Linked DNA regions of Yarrowia lipolytica. The protein of the gene in region 1 purifies or fractionates together with the protein of each later gene. This does not show direct contact. Links are inferred from orthologs where the notes say so. Each region holds a gene or a part of one and is shown on either strand. Other genes may lie near its edges.

The links. Proteins that work in one complex are often made in the same cells at the same time.
Region 2: the proteins of YALI1_F36706g (region 1) and YALI1_B23176g purify together in Saccharomyces cerevisiae (affinity purification with mass spectrometry; 4 studies listed by BioGRID). This does not show direct contact. The link is inferred for Yarrowia lipolytica from reciprocal best matches to the Saccharomyces cerevisiae genes CWC2 and YJU2.

The regions. Positions count from the first base shown.
Region 1 is NC_090775.1:3,664,925-3,675,546, reverse strand, and holds YALI1_F36706g (uncharacterized protein), read left to right. Parts: upstream 1-4,903; coding exon 4,904-6,052; downstream 6,053-10,622. Other genes in the region: YALI1_F36742g (uncharacterized protein), read right to left, coding at 205-1,257; YALI1_F36733g (uncharacterized protein), read left to right, coding at 2,199-3,068; YALI1_F36710g (uncharacterized protein), read right to left, coding at 3,928-4,488; YALI1_F36678g (uncharacterized protein), read right to left, coding at 7,433-7,636, 7,686-7,727; YALI1_F36649g (uncharacterized protein), read left to right, coding at 9,623-9,704, 10,610-10,622. UniProt on the Saccharomyces cerevisiae protein: Involved in the first step of pre-mRNA splicing. Required for cell growth and cell cycle control. Plays a role in the levels of the U1, U4, U5 and U6 snRNAs and the maintenance of the U4/U6 snRNA complex.
Region 2 is NC_090771.1:2,311,493-2,321,691, forward strand, and holds YALI1_B23176g (uncharacterized protein), read left to right. Parts: upstream 1-6,113; coding exon 6,114-6,938; downstream 6,939-10,199. Other genes in the region: YALI1_B23153g (uncharacterized protein), read right to left, coding at 911-3,823; YALI1_B23201g (uncharacterized protein), read right to left, coding at 7,270-8,586; YALI1_B23237g (uncharacterized protein), read right to left, coding at 9,666-10,199. UniProt on the Saccharomyces cerevisiae protein: Part of the spliceosome which catalyzes two sequential transesterification reactions, first the excision of the non-coding intron from pre-mRNA and then the ligation of the coding exons to form the mature mRNA.

The DNA.
Region 1 (10,622 bases):
TTATAACTGAAACTTCAAATTCCCCAATAGCCGACCCCAACCTTTCAAAAATCAATTTCAATTTTTTTATCTTGTTACATGTATGGCCATCTCTTGTTCAAACGAATTTTATTAAAATGGACATGGTAATATCCATACTATACAGGTATAACTTGTAGATCCAGGCTCTCTTTTTTCAAATATGATATCATTACGTGGTACATTTTAAACAACAATAGCTCGAAGGCCGGTCTTGCCTGCCTCGGTGGAAAGATGAAGGGAATCATCAGGGTTCTTTCCAGAAACGATCACTAGGGACTCGTCGTATTCGAGCTTGGAGTCGTGTAGCTCGTTGACATGCTTCTCAGAGATGGGAGAGCCAAACGAGTAGCCCAGACGACCATCGTACGTGGAGGCAGGGGTCTCTTCAGAGACTTGTCCGGGGCCAGTGATAACATGTCGGATCTTGATTCGAGGGTACACACGGGCAATCTCAGCCAGATCGTCGTGGACAAAAGCGGCATCAGCAGTCTCAGTCTCCCAGATCAGGTTGATCCAAGTGAGATCCTCGGGAGTGTAGATAATCTCGTTGATGATGGGCAGCATGGCCTGGATGCCAGTGTCTCTGCAGACCATGAGCAGCTCCTTAACCATGTTGTGGGTGTAGTAGGGCTTGCCAATGGGGCCAATGACCTTGACGTGCTGGTTGACCTTCATTCCATCAAGATATCGACCGACCATGTCCTCACTGCCTCCCACGTTGTTGTGTTTGTACTGCAGGTTAAGAGGGGTTCGGTTGTGCCGAACGACAATGTCAAAAGATCCAGGTCGGATCTGAATCGGGTAAAAATGCTTGATGGCAACCCCGGCTCCTCCAGCAACCTTGGTGTCCCACTCAATTCGAACACCAATCTGCTGGCCGGGCTTGATGCCCAAAGTGTCTCGGGGAGAGGGCAGATCGATGGTGTAGATAGAGGTGTCATTGTTGATCAGCACCTTCTCGGAAACAGCCATTTCGTAAAGCTTAAGCTTTGAGTGAGCGGTGAGGAACTCGGGATCCTCCTTCTCGAGATCATTGAGATCGTTCTGGCCCCGGAAGAGAGTCGAGCCCGATCCTCGGTAGAGCTTGAGACCAGCCAGGCCCAGAGTGATGAAGATTCCTCCGACGAAAATCAGAGGATTTTCCAAGTAGTAGGCCAGAATGCCCATTCCCATTATCAGCAGAGCCGAGGGAATGTAGATTCCATCTCGGGGAGTGTCGAGAACGTCTTCATCCATTGTTGTGTGGTTGGAGAGTGTAGCTGAAGAAGAATGTTAGATGTTCGGGAATAAAGTTGATCATTCATGCACTCCGGGCATTGGGTCGAACGTGATTTCTGGCTGAAAAGACTTATTTGAGGGCAATAAAAGAGGTATTCACGTCAAAAATTGTTATCAGTATTCATATATTGATTAAAATGCCTTGTAGATACCACTTCAACATCCTTCTCCACGGTCGTGTTTAGCTCCTCCTCGTCAAGTCCGAACATTATAGTTAACCTGCAGCCCACAAGTCTGTCTTTTCAGTGTTGTGTTGTTGTAGACCCGATAAAGCCTCACTTCGGGAGTGGAAGGTTCCAGCGCATGGTAACTGGAGGTCCAAGTGGCTGAATGGCGGCAGTGAGATTGAACTTGGACTTTTCAAAGGTGGAATTAGACTTTGGCCCTTCGTTTAGAGCATTGCAAGTAGACCTACATTGGGCTGACTAATTGTGCGATTCAAAAGACGTGAAAATTAGTGTTCAGAATATGAATTTCCACAGAACAGCCCCCCCCCAAATAATCGAATTGGGGTATGAGTTCCACAGAACCAAAAGGGTATCTAACATCAGAGTACAGTACATACCATAATCATCTTTTATTCAATCCAGTTTCACTAAAAAAAAAAAGAAAACTGCAATTCGGCCTTACACCAAGCCACACTACAGAATTGGTAGAGTTGGAGGGACTGTAATGAAACTGCTCCAACTTCAGAGACGGAATATATCTGGAACATCAATATTTGACTAGAATGGATATCCTCTGAAGTGAATGGCGCATTCCGACCCTTGCCTACACACTTGTACTGTTGGCTACAGTAACATCACAAATCAAGACCAGTCCCAATATGCATCTTCTCTTATCATACTTTATCTTTCTTCCTTCTCGAACCACTCACTTCCCCATTCCACCATCCCGTCATGACTCTCGCAGCAGTCGGCCAATTTTGTGCAACCAATTCACTTACTCACAATGCCTCTATTGTTGCAGGACTAGTCCATAGAGCAGCAGCCCTGGGCGCCCAGGCTCTGTTCCTCCCTGAAGCCTCCGACTACATTTCTGGCTCGCCTAAGGAAGGGTTGAGTCTTGCACGAAATGCTGAAAATTCGCCCATGATCGCAGCAATCAGGGAGGCTCAAAAGGAAATCAAACAGAGCGGAATGTCTGGAATTGAGGTCTCAGTAGGAGTTCATGAGCTGTCCTCTTCTTCTGACCGGGTCAGAAACACCCTATTGTGGCTTGATTCCAACGGAGACATTGTCAACAGATACCAAAAAGTGCATCTCTTCGACGTGGAGGTGCCCAACGGTCCTATTCTGCAGGAATCAAAGTCAGTAGAGCCCGGGTCTGAACTTCCCAAGCCGTTCGAGACCCCAGTGGGAACAGTTGGACCTGCTATTTGTTATGATATCCGGTTTCCTGAGCTGGCATTGTTGTTGAGAAAGCAAGGCGCCCAGATTCTGCAATTTCCCTCGGCGTTTACAGTCAGAACTGGCGCCGCCCACTGGCACGTTCTTGCCCGAGCTCGTGCTATCGATACCCAATGCTATGTCATGATGCCAGCGCTGGTTGGAAAACACACAGAGGACGGCAAGCGAGAAAGCTACGGACACGCCATGATAATTGACCCCTGGGGAACTGTTCTTGCCGAGGCCAGCGACATAGACTCTTCGGCTGCAGTTATTGTTGCCGATATCAACCTAGAGCAGCTGAAGAAGGTCAGGACCAATATGCCTCTGTGGGACCAGAGACGAAATGATGTGTATAGCTTGCTTGAGGTGAAGAAATAGGGCACATTTAAAGTGTGAACGAATGAATGAAACCCATCTTTAGCGTAACAAACGAATAATCTGAGATATTGGCTGAGTAGCATTTTAGTAGATTGAAGTTGTTATTTCTAGTGTACGGTCCTGTAGATATAACGGGGATGAAAGTAGTCGGGAATATTCTCAATGTCCTCAAAGCATATTACATACACATACATACACATACATCAGCAATAAATCTCTGCTGGTTTAATCTCCTTTCAATATTCTAAATTTTTGCAAAAAGTGTCGGTGTAAGACTCACCACGCAACACAGCACATTGCAAAATGCCTGAGAGCAGAAACTCCTAGCTCATTGGAGTTGCAAAAATGATTTCTGGCAGGATCGAACTGCCGACGTTCTGCGTGTTAAGCAGATGCCATGACCAACTAGACCAAGAAACCCGGGTTTTAATTTCGGAGGTCACATATGACAATTTGAGATCGAAATCTTTGAAAAACCCCATCTGTTGTTCCCTCAGGAATGACTTAATTCTTCAATTAGCCGTGTGGGGACTACTCCAAAGCATGATCTTAGTGACTACATGACCATCTTATTTGTCTTTATTGTCCAGTGTCTAGTATGTGTCTAGCTTCCGTCATCCGTCATGAAGGATGAGACGCTCTATCTCGACATACAGTATAATAGGTTTTGGTAGCTCCATGTATGCTACAAATAAACAAACACGACGTGTATGTCGTTAGGGCTCCCGAACTTCTGTCTTCCGTAAGTACATTAATGCAATACATGCTTCCATCTCACCAAACGCGTCCCAAGTCGCTGTTCTTCCATATATTCTGACAATTGGTACCCCCATGCAAAAGTGTGCACACACTGTTAGTATCAGTCGTCTTCATGGAAGCCTATCTGTGCTTTACTCACTAGCTTCCTCACCTGTAGAAGTTTCTGTTTCAGCTCTTTGCTCTCCTCCAGCAATTCTTGTTTTCGTGATTCAGCCTGGCACTCATGCTCCTTGTATGACTTTTTAATCTGGCTTGCAGCATGGTCCATGTCGGCGGCATAGATCTGCGAGTCTCCCACAATCTCCTCCATTGCCCGCATATACTGCTTGAGCAGCTCTTGTGACTTGCCCCCAACAAACTGGAGGCGTTGTAATTGTTGTTCGAGCTCCACGTTTTCTCGGGCTATTAGCACCGACATGGGCAGTGTGGTATCCGGCTCGTCGCTCTCGCTTTTAAACTCCGACTCATCACGTCCCAGCTCCACCAGCAGTTCCTGCAGCTGCTTCTCTTCAATCTCGAGAATTGAAGCTGCAGTTTCCTCGAGCTTTTCCGACGACTCATGCTGGTTAGTAAGACGCGTAGACAGTGTGCGTACCAGCTCGCTGATCACACTGACGTCGCGGGACAGATATCCCGAACCTATCGGCTGGTCTTCTTTCATGGTGTTATGTTTGGGTGAGATGTGATGAGAAGTTAGACGCGATGGTGGCGATGTTCATCCAAGGTGTGCATATTGGGATGTGTTTAAGTCCAAACTAATTGATGCGTCTGGAATCGTGTGCTGGATAATGGGACAAATATGGATAACTGTACAAGAGGCGACCATAGATGTTTATAACTGCTGTTACCTGTAAATTTCGGCTGGAAAACAACTCTTGCTAGGATCCACTTGACTTCATGACTCCTCCACCGATCACCGCGGTTCTCACTAATTTTTCCATCAAGTAAAATGGTACGCTTCCACAACAAACTCAAAGCAAAATAGCCTCAGAATATATTACACTTCTAAATATGCTCCTCCGGCAATCATCACCACTTGCACCACTACCGCCCGCCCGCCACAACAAATACCCACCATGTCTGAGGCTCCGGAATCTATCGAAACCTCGCCAGTGGTTACACCAGACGTCGCAGAAAGCGTACAGAACCAAGGTGTCGAGGTAGTACAAACAGAAGCACCCACAGAAGCTCAGGTGGTCAAAACGAAATCTAAGAAGAAGAGAACCAAAGATCCTGCATTATACCATACTCGGAAAGCACGGATCCAGGTGGACCCCGACTCGGTCAACACTGATGACAGACCTCCACAGACAGGAACCGTCTATAATATCTGGTTCAACAAGTGGAGTGGAGGAGACAAGGAGGATGAAAAGTTCAACCAGAAGAAAGCAGATGGACGATGTAGCATAGCCCGTGACTCAGGATACACCCGGGCAGACAAGGTACCGGGATCCTACTTTTGCCTGTATTTTGCCCGGGGTCTGTGTACTCAAGGGCACAAGTGTGAGTTTCTGCATCGTCTTCCTGTGTTGACCGACATGTTTAGTCCTACGACTGATTGTTTTGGTCGGGACCGGTTCTTTGACTACAGAGATGATATGGGGGGTATTGGTTCGATCAGTAGAGTCAACCGAACTCTATATGTAGGTCGTATCCATGTGAGTGATGCTGCCAAAGCAGGTGCTCTGGATGAGATTGTCTCGAGACACTTTTCTGAATGGGGAGACGTTGACCGCATTCGAGTTTTGCATGACAAGGGCGTTGCATTTGTGACATACGCCACAGAAGTGAATGCGCAGTTTGCTAAGGAGGCCATGGCTCACCAGAGTCTGGATAGTGGAGAGGTTCTTAACGTACGATGGGCGACACAGGATCCCGATCCTTTGGCTCAGGCACGTGAACAGCGACGACTGGAAGAGAATGCCGCCGAGGCTATTAAGCGGCTGTTGCCTCAGGAGTACGTGGATGAGCTCGAAGGTCGAGCTAAGAAGAGCAAGCCATTGCTGGAGGGTTACGAAGAAGATGACAGCGAGAAACTGAAGAGAATCATGAACAATCAGAAGGAGGCTGGAGCTGAGCCTGCTGAAGAGGTCAAGCAGATTGAACCTGCCCCTGAGCCTGCTGCTCCCGTATCCACTGATACAGGCATGTTCAACAAGAGCTCTCTTAGTGCTCTCAAGGCTCTTAAGAAGAAAAAGAAGACCAAGGCCAAGGTAGAAGAGTAATGCTGAGTGCATTGCTTGTGTGTATTTAATGTATTATAAAGGATAGCCTACTTAAAAGACGTTACCGTATGGAACCGGGTAGCCACGAAACAAAGAGTAACGGTATTTGCAGTATACCGTGTACATACTGTAACTAACCATCACAATGGATGAGAAGGCAATAAAGACACAAAATGGAACCCAGTGGGGCAGGGGGACAAAAAAGAGAGGACGACAGGACTCGAACCCGCAGCCTTTGGAGGACGTCGTTCTGAAGAACCGAAATCCAATGCGCTACCATTACGCCACGTCCTCAGAGTTTTTTTTTGTGAGCTATATTGTAGGAACAGTATTGGTAGCATTTGGCTTATATAATCAGAATCAATTAGAATAAAAAAAATTAAAAAAAAAAACCAAAACAAAAAAAAAAACAAAAACAAAAACAAAAAACAAAAACAAAAAACAAAAACAAAAACAAAAACAAAAACAAAAACAAAAACAAAAACAAAAACAAAAACAAAAACAACTGAACCAGAGAAATACCGCAAGAAGTATTGCCCTATGCTCGTCTGGAAACCTGAAACCTAGTCATCAGATTTGCGGATTTATCATTGTTTATAATCTTTAACTACAGTCATATGTACCGTAAGAGATACAAGATACAAGTACATACTGTACCTAAAATGTATTTCCCTGGAATATAAAAAAGTAAACGTAAACGGGAGGCAATTTAATTTATTGTAACTTCTTTCCATTTCCATATCTTCATCACAAGGGTGTGTGGTATATAGTCTCGCTTAATGGTGCACCACTTACGCCTGATCACGTATGTACTTCTATGGGACCTAGCTAAGGGTATATACAAGTAGTTGCAATCTATAGTTTGAGTGCTGTAGAATACATAGTTGTAGTGCCCTTAACCTTACGGCACAAATATCTACAGAGAACTGACTACAGTATGTACCGTCATTCTACGATGGAACACAACTGACCCTACTCGATACAAGCTCACTGATAAACAACGTGGGAAGATCAACGTTTCCCAAAGCTTTAGCACTGGTGCTAGAAGCACGCTCAATGGATAAAGTGTTGAAATTTGAGCGCACTCCTCCTTTTAAGATGGTTTGATTCAATCGAGGGGATTCTGACATCTTTGGCTGACTCCAATTACTACAGTAGTATCTACACTACCACAGAGCTTGATTCTTGCAATAAAAGCAAGGCACTGCCTGTGCCCTACAGTACGGTTTAACTCGACTTCTGACCTTAATAAGCCTTTTTTATAACATAATTGATTGCATGGTCTGTATGACGCTTGATCTTTTCGACGAGGGCCCGGGTGACTTGTTCGGGGGTATGGGGTAAATGGTCAGTGCGACTGGTTATCAGAGCTACGAGTAGTCAGGGTACGGGAAAGACCGGTGAAAATAAAGTCGTGGTGGACGTGAAGACGGTGTCGGATGACCATTTGGTGGGTGAAGACGTTGTAGTGATGTAGACATGTAGACGTACGACGGGGTATGCAGAAAGACGTGTAACTGGTAATGTGAGGCAGGCGTGGTAAAGTGTTAGCTTGGGGGGGAGGGCGGTGGCATGTGTCCGGTACTAAATGTGAAGTCCAAGAGTCAGGGAGGCAGTGTGGACCTCATAAGACAGGTGCTGGTGAGTCACGGGCGAATAGTCCTTGGGGTGTCATAATCGATGGGTATGAGCCTTCGGGGAGGACCAAAAGCGGGGTGGTTGGGGGAAGTAGATGGGGGAAAAAATGAAGAAAGGGGGTGGTAAAAAATGGGGTGAAAATTATAGGGCAACACAGAGTCAGTGTGGGTGGGAATGTCCGATATATATAGGGAAATACATTTCCTAAGGAAGGACAATCATATTTATTCAACGGATCCATTTTTTAGTTTTTTTTTTTTTTAATTCTAATGATAAATTACAGCTATATATACCTACTTGTAGTAACCCGGGTTAGTGGCTTTCAATCGTCTCTTTTTATTCTAATGATTCAAAGGATGACTAAGCAGTCAGGATCTTAGTAAAGATCGTTTCTCTTCTCATTCTGTAACGGATCGATGATGGGTCAATCCTCAACGCCCTAGGTACGAGCTCCAGAAGTTGTATAAACATAACTTACTTACATACTTGCGAGTAGTGGCTATATATACAGGTATCTCAACCCTAACTCTGTAAAGCACGTCATCCACGCGACCTAGCCAAGCGATACCGAAATATTCATCCATAATGACACACTCATGACGTCCGTAGAACGTCATCATCGTCCAGTCACTTGCCAAGGCATTTTTTTACTAATGATTCATTACTGCTAAGGTTTTTTTATGCTAATGGCATGACTAATCGTAACACCTTATGACTAGCTTCTGAGTCGTTACATATTTGTTAGGGTTCGGCGGCTAATCGGCCGCGGCTAAACCTGATACTGGAGGTTAGTGATACTCGATCCGTCACCGCGGCTATTCGTGCTCTTGTGTGACTGTTGTTTCCTTGTGAGTGTCCAATAGTCTGAACTCTCTGTTCTACTTGTCCATGGTTGTCTGCCTTTGTACTTGACCGTTTAACAAAGGTTAGTGGATATTGGTCCAATATTGGTCCAATATGATCTAGCGGATAACCTACGCACTACGCCGCTTGGAGAGCACTGCCCGTCCGGAACTGGAGGAGTTCCGGAAGTTGCGGACGCCGATCCTGAGATTATATAACTTGCCCTATTTCCTATATTATAATGCACCAACAATTGTTCTGACACTTCGACTACTAACTACCGAGCTTCTCCAGTAAGTACTGGTTGGGAGCCCAAGTCCTGAGGCCCTGGGTTCTAACAATATTTAAATTAATTCTGGGCTGTTGGTGTAGTGGTAACATATCTGCCTTCCATTCGATTGTTAGCAGGTGCCAGGGGTTCAATTCCCCTACAGCTCAACTCTCCTAATCTTTTTGCACCACGATCTTACATAAGAATAAAGAAACAAAAAAGCTGTGACAAAACAATATCCTCTCCCGGGGGCGAGTCGAACGCCCGATCTCAAGATTACAAATTTTTAATACCATTACAGTCTCGCGCCTTAAACCAGCTTGGCCACCGGGAGAATATTTCGAAAATTCGAAAATTCTAGACTCTACTATGTAAGTTCGGCTTAGTAATTATCGCGACATGGTGGTCGTGGCTATGAGGCGGAAGCGCGGAGAGGAATGAGCGCCGAAGTTGTTTTCTACTCTAGGAGCATTATTACGATGGCTGGTACACATGACGTACTCGTGAGGTCTGCTGCACGGCTAAATATACACGCTGACGTCTCAAGATTAATTGGAATTATGGAAAAAAAAAAAGAAAAAAAAAAACAACTCAAACACGTTGCTACCCCCACCTTCAATCCCCCGATGCCGCAAAGATCTCAAAACAGGACACACACGATCACATCAATAATACTTATGATCTTCAATACCTTGTAGTATTTAATTGAAGAAAGCTTGCAACCAGAGTTTTGGAGGTTCTACCTGAGTCGTAGGTAGCCCTTCACCATTAAAAAATTAGTTGGTTAGCCCATGATTCACTACCACGAGACCACGACAATGACATTCCAACTAGACGAAGCGTCGGACAAACCAACCGGACAGCGCCGCAGCAGCGTCATATCGCAAAGATTCCAGAAGTGTATGATTTATTGAACGGCCAATAAACCCGGCTTTCTAGGTATATAGCTTTTATGAATCATTAGAATAAAAAACCCCCTTTTTTAAATAAAAATTTGATGATATATTTAACTGGTCAAGAGATTGGAACAGGAAAGAATACATTGAACACGCGGAGCAAAAATGTCATGGCGCGCTCTCCCTGAACAACCGAATCGCGAATCCCAATCGCGATGTGCTTGTATAACAATTTGTTTAATGGGGCTTCGAGTTAGCTGAAATGATCATTAGAATAAAAAAAAAAAATAAAAAAAAAAAAACCAATGTCTATTTCCCTGGAGTATTCCCCCACACCTACTGTTGAAGGTAATACCCGGTGGGTAATACCTGGCTAATTCCTCACATAATGATGAGATGTCACCACATAGTGATGAGAGGAATCAAGCTGGGTTCGTAGACGAGATGTTCCATCCTGTAGATAGTTTTTATCCACTGATCTTAGAATCTCTTTTCTGGTGAATGAGCAAGCACACACCCTTTCTGGTGTGTGCTAACTATCGGAACGCGTTTTCCCTAGAAGTGGGTTGTAAGTTGTTAATTAACTAGCTATATCACATCAATAATACTTATGATCTTCAATACCTACAAGTAGGCTAAACAACAAAGTAAAAAAAAAGCATCTCAGATGAACTAAAAATAAGAGAAGTATCTAATATCTACTTGTACGTAATTAATGCCACGAGTATCAATTTGTGCCTCTAACTTGTTTGGCACCGTGTCCCCTCATGTCTGCCTGGGTCTTTTTTAAAAGATTACACCGAGCAGCAGCAGATCTTCTACACAACTGTGGGTCCTTAGCTGGACGTCTCGCTGTACGAGCTCACTGATGGTCTGGATCACGTGGTCGACACCCTTCCCCATGACAAGATCTACGCGTCTC
Region 2 (10,199 bases), on another chromosome or scaffold:
CTGTATCCGGCCCTCGGTATCCCTGTAAAACACCATCTCTTGGCGCCAAGCTCTCCATTAATTTTGTCTTTGAGGCTGAGTTCTTGGCAATATTTTAATTTTTTCATGTCTCACTCAGATGACGTCACTCGAGGAGGTCGTTAGTTACCCACGTGTAGGTTCTCGACAGTTGATTGATTCTATGAAGTAGTAGTTTTTGTAGGTTTTTGCATTGGGAATACAATAAACGATGGTCTAGACTACAGTAGAAGTCGTGCTTGATTCCGTTCTAAACCTCGAAAAACCACTCATATGAAACATGAGTGGAAGTCGCCCTCAGTACAATACAGTAAACCAGCGCGCAACTTTATCATATCAGAATGAGACAAAGTGGGGTCTGTAGCTATTTGTTTGAAGAACGAACGATAACTCCAATTCGACCAGTTGTTGTCGAATGAGGTAGCTTAATATTGGTCACATACCTGTTTTTATTCTATTACAGGGTCTGGTGAGTAATTGCTTTTTGAGCTACAAGTATAGTAGTTGAACTTTTGTTGATGTGAGACAGTACATAATTACCTTGAAGCCGGGCTCTGTACAAAATGGCCAACTGCTTGTCTAACACGTTAATACGTGATAAATACTTGATATTGGAACCATTATTGACCTGAAAATATGGGGTTTGGAGTCCATATATCTTCAGTGTTGAGATCCATCGTTTATCCACGTTTGTCTGTACATATTGTGTCCTCTTCTGTGGTGGTTGTGATGCAAGAAAAAGCCGATTCAGTAAGATTCCACTCGACACAGCCATAAGTTGTAATGTTCATCAAAATATTGCGAAAAAAAATTTATATCCGTTTACGCTCTCGATATTATTATTATCATGATAAATATTTATTCTATATGCTTTATAAATATGCTAATCCTCCTAATCATCCGCGAGGTCCAATCCTCCAGGACCCTTGAGCTCCGGGAAATACGAGTCCATCTCGATACCCTGCTCGTCCTTGTGCAGCTTCTTTTTGTTATCGGACAACTCACCCCTGAGCTTGTTATCCTCCTGCTCCTGCTCTCTCTTCTCCATCCGCTTGAGGTAGTCCTCATCCACGGAAGGCATGGGCGACGAGGGCACAATGGGGTCGAGATCCCGAGGACCAATGTCAGACACGTTGGACGTCTGCCGAGAATGAGAGGAGCCCCGAAGAGGGTACGACTCATTACCTCCAGCGCCTGGTCCAGAGCTCATCATCGTATGTGAACGCATGGGGTAGGGCAGGCCCATGGTCTCTGTGAGCTCGTTGGAGTTAGCAGACATCGTTCTGCCTCGTCGTAGGTGGGATCGAGTCACCGCATCGTCCTTTCTATGCATCTCGTCGGAAGGAAGAATGATGGCACGATCGACCGAGTACGGCAGACCTCGATGTCTGCCTCGGATCATCATGGCAATGATAATGAGCTTTGAGATGGTGCTAAACTTGCCGGACAAGGACGTGTTCACATCATCGTAGCCCATGGACATGCCGACCGTACCGTATGCAGAGACAACCTCGAAAAGCACAGTGAAGCCAGTAAAACCGAGATCCGTAACGTCCTTGATCTTGGTGCCTTCACAGATACAGATAATAAAGAGCCCTAAGAAGATGTACCACAAATCGTAACCAAGCTGGGCACGCAGGTGGGCTGTGACATACGACGGATGCTTCTTCTTCTTGCCCTTGTAGAGATGCTCGGGGTCGTTCTCCTCGTTCTCTGCCTCCTCATCAGCCGTAGGGGCCTGGTCGTACTCACTCTCTTCGTCTCCCCCTCCATAAATACCCAGAGACTGTTCCTCGTAAACGTTAGTTCGTCGAATCGAGATGGCAATGGGCAGAATGGCAATGTACATCATGATCATGTACGATACCTGGATGGACGGATGGAGTTCGGCAATAGAGACAGAGGTGAAACCGGCTGTTCGAGTAGAGAAGGCCTGGAACAAGCCTGATACAACCCTGTAACCGGGCCTCATCTCGGTGACTGCAGGTGCGTTGAAGTCCAGAATGATGAAGAAGACGAGGTCGACAGAGTTCAGAATCACCAGTGTTGCAAACAACCACCAGGTGGCAGTGGAAGGGAACAGCATGGTGAAACATCGTCGAGGATGATCAAGCAGGAAACCGGTACACTCCTTGAGTGAGGAGTCTCGAGGTGAGAGCTTGAACATGATCCAGATGATGAACCGAAGTAGAACAGGGAAGCCCGTGTTACCGATGACAATGAAGAAGGACATGGTCAACAGAACATAAATGGCTTCCTGATAAGATCCCATGGAGTCCGGGGTTAGAGTGAAACCCACATCGTTGAAGGTCGACTGAGCGGTGAAAAATGCCCACCACGTCGGCGTCACTCCACACGAGTACACGTAGTCTCTGTACTTGGGCATGTAGATGGCCCAGGGCAGCAGCATGATGGCGCACATGAGATGGAAGCCGACGAAGTAGGCAACCAGCACCTTGGACAGTACCTTGAGAGCCCGATACTCGATTCCTCCCAGCTCCTCCTTTTGCTCCTCTGTCAGATCAACAAATGCAGAGTTACGACCAACTGTGGGACTCCAAGACAGGTAGTTGGACGACATGGTCTTGTTGAGATCGGCGTTGGAGGTGGCACCACTGGAAGAAGCGGCGTCTGAGCCGCGTCGTCGATTAGAAAGAAACCGATCAAATGTAAGAGACCGTTTAAAGTGTGCAAAGGCTCCTTCATGGTTCTTCTCTTCAGTGTTGTCGCCGTCAAGGGTAAATGCACGTCGGTTCATGGGTTGGGTGCCGGCAAAGTCGTCATCTTCAGGAGACGGTCTGTGAACGGTCACGTTGGAACGCACCTTTTTCACCGTATCTCCTTCTGAAGAGTCGGAATCCGGATGCTGTCGGTAATACATGTCTTCTCGCTTGATGGAGGTGGGCTGGGTAGCGTCTGACGACTCACCCTCATCAATAGCATGCTCAGCGTCCAGTTGTCGTTGTGACTCACGCATTTCCTCCTTGAACTGTTCCAGAGCAGACTTCTGAGCACGTGGGTGTTCCTGAGTCGAGAACGAAATTGCTCGTGGAGCTCTCTCGATCTCAGGTGAGTCCTCTTCGTCGTCGTCTCGGTCAGGGCGGTCACGAGGGCCTCTGATGACCAGAGCAGGTCCGTCGTCATCACTATCACTCTGTCCTTCAGGGTGTTCATGGGACAGCAAGTTGATGGACCGGTACATATCTTCAGGCTCAACGGAGTGCGTTCGTTTTGGCTGCGGTAGATTTCCGAATGTGATTTCCTTGTTGAGGTTGGGGTTGTCGTTGTTGTGACCTTCCTTGTGAGGCGTTTCGTCGCTACTGTCGTTGTTGATGTTGCTGTTCAGGCCGGCCACTCCTGGGTTCTGGTGTCGCAGAGGAGGGCGTTGAAACAGTCCGTTCTCGAGTGTGTCTTGTCGAGCTAACGTCGTGGCTGTTCTTCGCAGCTTTGACTGCAGTTTGGACTGGTTCTTGATGTCCTTGAACGATTTCTCGAACCAGTGCAGACGCATAAACACGACTCCTGAGTGAATCACAATCGGATTCGTCCACATGGAAATGCAGTAGAGCACCATCTGCTGCCACAGCTTGAGCGAGTTGAGATCGACGGTGTTGAGGCCTGCCTGTGTCGCAGCGCAGGCACACTGAAACAGGGCATCGATGTATTTTGTAGTTTTGGCGGGGTAGAATAGAAAAGTGCCGAAAATGGCCGAGCCAATGATGATGAAGTAGTGCACGACGATGAAGGTGATGCGAAAGTGTCGCAGCTTGCGGTACGCTCGTTTAGCGTAGTCCACTATGAACATGTCTTGTGGAGTGTGTCGAGAGAGAAGAGAGCAAAAAGTGAACCTGTGGGAACACAGAATGGCCTGAGACAACCCCAGGAGAGAGTAGTGGGTTATGAGGGGGTTGAAGAGGTCGAGATTTATACCGTCTCTGTTTTTTGTTTTTTTTCGATGTTACTTTTTTCGGGCTGATGTTGAACAGGTCAGGTCAAAAGTCGGTTCCACCAATCTGGGTGCTGGGTATATGCAGCTATTAATACTGAAGAGCTTGGCCAAAGCTTTTTTTCGTGCAACTCTTGAACCTTGAATGGGGGAGGTGGTCACCAAACAGACTCTGGATGAGGTACACCACCAGAGCCTGCTAGTGGACCAACTTCACGGGTCGCTAAAACCAAGACCTCGCTTGGTGAAAAAATAACTCCCTTTCCATTCCTTTTATCGACCCCTTTCAAGTCGTAATTACTCCTTGGCACGTCCCACATGTTGCTTTGACAGCGACGACACACTCCAGACAAGAGGCATCCGATTCACACACAAGCTCCTTGTTGTTCTGAATGCACATAAGCAATAGACTTCCAACCCCCCAGATTGGTCGACGAGACTATGGTAGTAAGAGTAGTACTTGCACTCGTCGTATATGGTATCCATCTATTGTCGCTAATGTGTGAAGGGGCCACTCATGCCGCCCAAACTAATGCTTCTCTCCTTCTCCTTCTAGTGCCCTCATACACGGCTGAAGTAGTCTAAAAGACCCATACGTACAATAGCTGCTAACCAGCTAACCTGTACTTTTGGCACCACTCCCCTCAGCCGTACCTCTTACATTTTGATCATGTTCGTATCTGTGCCAGCTGCATAAATGATGGTTTCGCGGCTGCTGGTGGCTCTCAAACAAGAGGCCATCTCTTCTGACGCTGCGCAAATCCTCCAAGAACAACCTTCTTTTTGAATTTAGCACCTTTGCGTTTCCAAAGCAAGTGCACACTGAGGCATTTGAAGGGCCTATATTGGTGGGGGAGAGAGGACTGATTAAGCCATGTGCGAGAGACAGGGCATCAGCTCTTGCACGTGTCGATTAATAAGCGAGACCCGCGACGCAAGCAGTCGCCCAGCCTGTACGGCAGCAAAAGAACATTACTAGTACGCATCATCACCCGGTAGTAACGGCCAGCACGTTAAAAAAAAAAGCTGCCACTGTAAAACCTGTAACCGGGTGTATAATAGGGGCTGACCACATGGGGCGGTGTACGTTTTTCTGTCGTCCCCCTCCCCCAAGAGAAAAAAAAAAAGGTTACCAAATAGGTAAATCTATGCGGACGTTTGTACGAGTGCTGAAATTGCGGCTCCTGTATCTTGGCAGGAAAATTATTGATTTTGAAATTGTAGAGAGAAAAGAATCCAACCCTTCCATTGTCTTGATTTTCCGCTAGCGTTTTTATTCGATTTATTGGAAATATTCTCAGAAAACTATCCCTCTTTAAGCTATATTAGCGACAACTCAATTAAGCGTATGTGAGCATCTGTACCACCCTACTGTATCTCAGAGAGGTGGAGGTGGCGGAAATTCAAGAGAAAATCGAGGAAAATACGATCAATTTCAAAACACTCAACCCGGCATAAATGAGCCTCGCGAAAAAGTGCCTTGTCTTGTAAGCCCATAATACACGCCAAAACCACATCGTAAACACGTCGCAATCCCCATTCCAATTAGTTCTAGCGTCACACGTGTTAGCCAAGACAACCGCCTATAGAAGTGTACGATACTGGTACATACAGTACACTCCATTACTCGCACAATAGCGGCGGTGCCATGTTTGTCACGCCAAGGAACCGCTTTTTGAGTTCCGCGATCCGCTCTATACATGGTGTAGGGAAAGATCACGTGACGCCAAATTGGGATGTTCTCGGACTCTCGTTTTAGTGGCCGGGTTGTGCTGCTGTACTTAGCTATCATTTGGGAGAGCTACGAAGACTACTGTAAATGAAGTAAAAATATGAATAACTTAGTGAGGTCAAGTAGTAAGTGGGACAACCAGTTAAGTATATGAGGGTGAGATTCAACATCACCTTTCTACTTGTAGTCACTCAATACTACACGGATCAGCTCAAAAGAGTTTCCAGCTAAGTTTTTTTTCATTGTTGATACCCTCAGCTCAAGTTACACACCTCCGCGGTCTCTCCGACACACCCCCTTGAGACGCACATCGGATCGTACTCTCTCCTTGACAGGTTTCTGATAAAGTTTCTGTACATACTCGTACAGAAAATCAGCAGGCTCTTTTACCCTTCATCACATCATCATCAGCACAAAATGTCGGATCGAAAAGGAATAAACAAATACTATCCGCCCGACTTTGATCCCAGCAAGCTGGAGCGGCGTGCTAAGAAAGTGTCTGACTCCAAATCGGCCACCATGCCCACTGTACGGCTCATGGTGCCTTTCTCCATGCGATGTACCGCCTGTGGAGAATATATTTATAAGAGCAAAAAGTTCAACGCTCGCAAACAGGTGACTGACGAGGTGTATCTTGACGTGAAGATCATTCGCTTCTTTATCCGATGTCCTAGATGTTCAGGTGAGATCAGATTCAAGACTGACCCCAAGAACTCAGACTATCAGACCGAGTATGGAGCTGTACGAAACTACGAACCCTGGAGAGACGAAAAGAAGGTGGAGGAGACTCTGGACGAGCGGCTGGACCGGCTGGAAAAGGAAGAGAAGGAGCTGGAGGAGCTCAAGAAACAGGGAAAGGCTATGCCTGATCCGTCAAAGCTAGGAACCGCAGTTTCTACAGATGGAGACGTCATGGCAGAGATAGAGGCAAGGCAGAAGGCCAACATTGATGAGCAGGAGGGAATTGAACGGCTCGAAGAGCTCAAGGAACGTACTGCTCGTCTTAACAAGATTGGACGAGATGTGGATGTGCTGGAAGAGCTGAGAAAGAGAGATGACAAGGAAAGTGGCGTATCTGAACAGGATTTGCGTGATGATGAGATGGCTAAGGAGGTGTTTAGGAACGCGCAAGGTGAGAAGATCAAGAGAGTGGAGGTGGCAAAGGTGGATGCCTCGGTGAAGAAGGTATCCAAGCCTGTTGTCAAGATGAAGAAACGCATGAAGGGAATTGTCAGAAAGTAGAAGACGGAGGATATATTGCATCAACGCATTGTATAATACATTATGAAGTATTTGAGGCTACGAGTATTATACATCTGTAGAAGTTGCAAGTACTGCAGTACACACGGTGCATTCTGTAGCATGGCAACATAGTCAGCGGTAAGAACTCTCCACAGTTGTGTGTACAGGAGGTGTACAGGTAGTTAACTAGATCAGCCTAGTAAGAACAGCACCAGTTATCACCCCCCTCATCTACAGTTTCATCTTGAAAGCCCTTTCAACCACCACCGAACTCATAAATCATATCTCATTACTCGGGACAATAAATATATATAAATAAGCCTCCTCCTCTTTATACCACCACTCTTCGGCGCGTCTTGTGCCTATTAACGGCTCTGGACCTAGCTGGAACCCTCGTCTGAGGTACATGGGGCAACAGCATCGACTCGGGGGCATCAACCAGACAATTAATCTTAGTCATCATGACCTGAACGTCAACTTGCTCACCAAAATGCGTCAGCAGAAACTGCTGTGAGTATCTGTATACAACCAGCTGCCCATCTACTAATCCAGGAAGTGCCAGGAAGCCAGCCTGAAGAGACGTGTAGTAGAACGCAGTGATATCAACAATACTCTGAGTGGCAAAGTCAATTAAATGGGTCATACTTCCAGCCGCATTGTATAGGCCAACATAGTTACTGTAGACGGGATCCTGGCTGATATTTGTAGCGTGCACGGGTGTCCTGTTGAACAAGTACCGCATGAATTCAGGCATGACATGTTTTCCAGCCATGGCAATTTTGCCATCAAACACACACAACATCTCAGGTGTTGACGTGAGCATGTACTTGTCATTGAATAGCACCCGTTCCATCACTCCATTGTTCAGAGCCAGAAGAGCTCCGGTATGTCCTTGTTGCTGGACATACACAAAGATGCAAGACTCGACCAGAAACAGGTCGAAAGAAGTGAGGGTTGAAGGACAGAAGCCGACAGAGTAAAGCCAATCGTCAGTGTTCTCTCCAAAATCAATATTTGGCGCAATGCCATGGCTGTCAATGTACTTAACCAAAATGCGGTATTCGCTTGGCTCATAGCAAACGATGGCAGCGATGCATTTAGTGTTGGTTTTGATTGCCAGAATGGCATGCTGTCTTTGTCCTCTCTGGAATCCCATTTTGATACCAAATCTGCTGGATATAGTTCCGTTGTCGTAGTGGTAATCTTCGTTGGTAACCCCCTCACTTCCCTTTAGTGACACGAAGGCGCCCTGGAAGCTGAACCCGCTGTCGGTATGTCGTAGGGCCACATCATCATGCCACCCATCCCGAGTCGCAGCTTGCATTTTACACAAAGAGTAATAATGTGGCGGCAGCAGTTCATCTTGTCTGACTGCGATGGTTGTGTTTGGACATAGTTGTTGAATGATAGAGCTATCCACCTTGGGACTGTTGAGTCGGTTTCGGCGCAGGTACTCCGTTGCACAATCTCTCCAGCTAAGTCTGTTCGAGTTGTCAAGCTGGTAGAAGGGACAGCTCTTGAGCAGCATGTACCGATACTCGGCTTCTGTGATGGCAGAGTTCCAAGACTGGCACGTTTGAGCCAGAGAAACAAGCGAATAGAGATCCAGATGCTCCAGCAGGATGTTCACCAACTCGGGCGGCAGCATGGTGGTTTGTGTGCAATTTGTAGCCGATTTTAGAGGGGTTTCCTGTGAAAAGGAAGGTCCTGTACAACCGCTCTCCACAACTGGTAATACACTTTTGTTTGGAATGTAACAAGATGCATATGCAATGTTGGACGATAAAAGAAGTTAAACAAAAAAACTGTATCATTTCCTATTAAATCGAGGATAATTGTAAACGACTCAGAATTTTCCCAGGGTCTTCCAAAGTGAAATTCCTATCAGAGGAATATTTTTAATATGCAAAACTTCAACCGTCGGAGAGTCATATATCTCAACTCCATGTCCTTGTGACGCTTCGATAAGTGTAAATTTTGCCTTCTCACTGCCTGGTTTTAACTCCACATGACAGTATTTTCCGGGAGTTAGTAAGCCAGGTGATGAGTCATCTTCGGGGCTGTATCAATGAGAAGCCGTCATTAAAGATTTCGAAGTGTGTATCTGAAGATGGCACTGAGTTGTACTTGTACGGACTCTACTGGAACCACTCCGATCCATTTGAGATAATTGCTCTTTGCTGACTCAACAGAGCTTATTTTGCGGGGCTAAGAAGATGAACCGATGTACGATACTCTTGCAGTATGTTGTCACTACTTGTAGGCAAACAAATGCCATCAGAGATTAAAAATGAAATTTTAAAAAAATAATAAAAAAAAAAAAACACCAGAACAGACATAAAAGTTACAAGATGTATTCAGATCATCATTTATTAGTTGACTTTTTCTTCATCATTGGAATAATATGACATCTTAAAATTGTCAAACACACATGTGTAGATTTTTTTCGAATTTCGTCTCTAATTTTGAATTTAACGAAAATGTGTTCCCCAAAATCAAAACAATCAAAAACAATTCATAAATCATCTATATCGCTCTTCATAACTTCAAGCCCGTTCATAGCAAAAATCCGGGTATATTCCTATTGTCGTTTTTTTGGTTCGGTTTACATATCCATCCTCTCTACTCCCCAAAACTCATTCTTTTACAATGTGACTCAGTCTATACCAATACTTTTGATTAATGCAATAAATAGTTAGTCTTCCCATGATGATCCAATGATAATCCTTACAAGTCAGGAATGTCCAAATGGAAAAAAGGAGTGTCGGTGGACACCACGGGGATGTAGCCTCCAAACTCCTTGTCGTCCTGAGAAGAAGAAGACACGCTCTTGGTGTCCAGACCTCCAATGGCTTCTTCCTCATCGAACGGCTTCTTTTTTGCGTACTCTTCATCCGAGTCGTTGGACAGAGAATCGCCCTCGATCACCATGGTAGTGTCATTGGGCAAAGTCTGTCGGTCAAGGGCAGTGGCTCTACGGGCCGCAGTCACCTGGTAGTTGCTCAGGTGTTGTCCCTTTGGCACTCCTCCGAATCCAGAGCCCACCAAAGCACGTCGGACCCAGGGAGACAGAAGACCCGAGAAATGGAACTCGACTTCTCGGCCAACATATCGGTTGATCTCTCCTCGAGCATCTACCAGGTTCTGGATACCAGTAGAGTCTGTGGAAGAGACGACAGAGAAATCTAGCACCACCTTCTCTAGAATGGGCCGCAGATCGACAGTTTCGCTCTCCTTGGGATGTCGAGGACCATGGTCGTT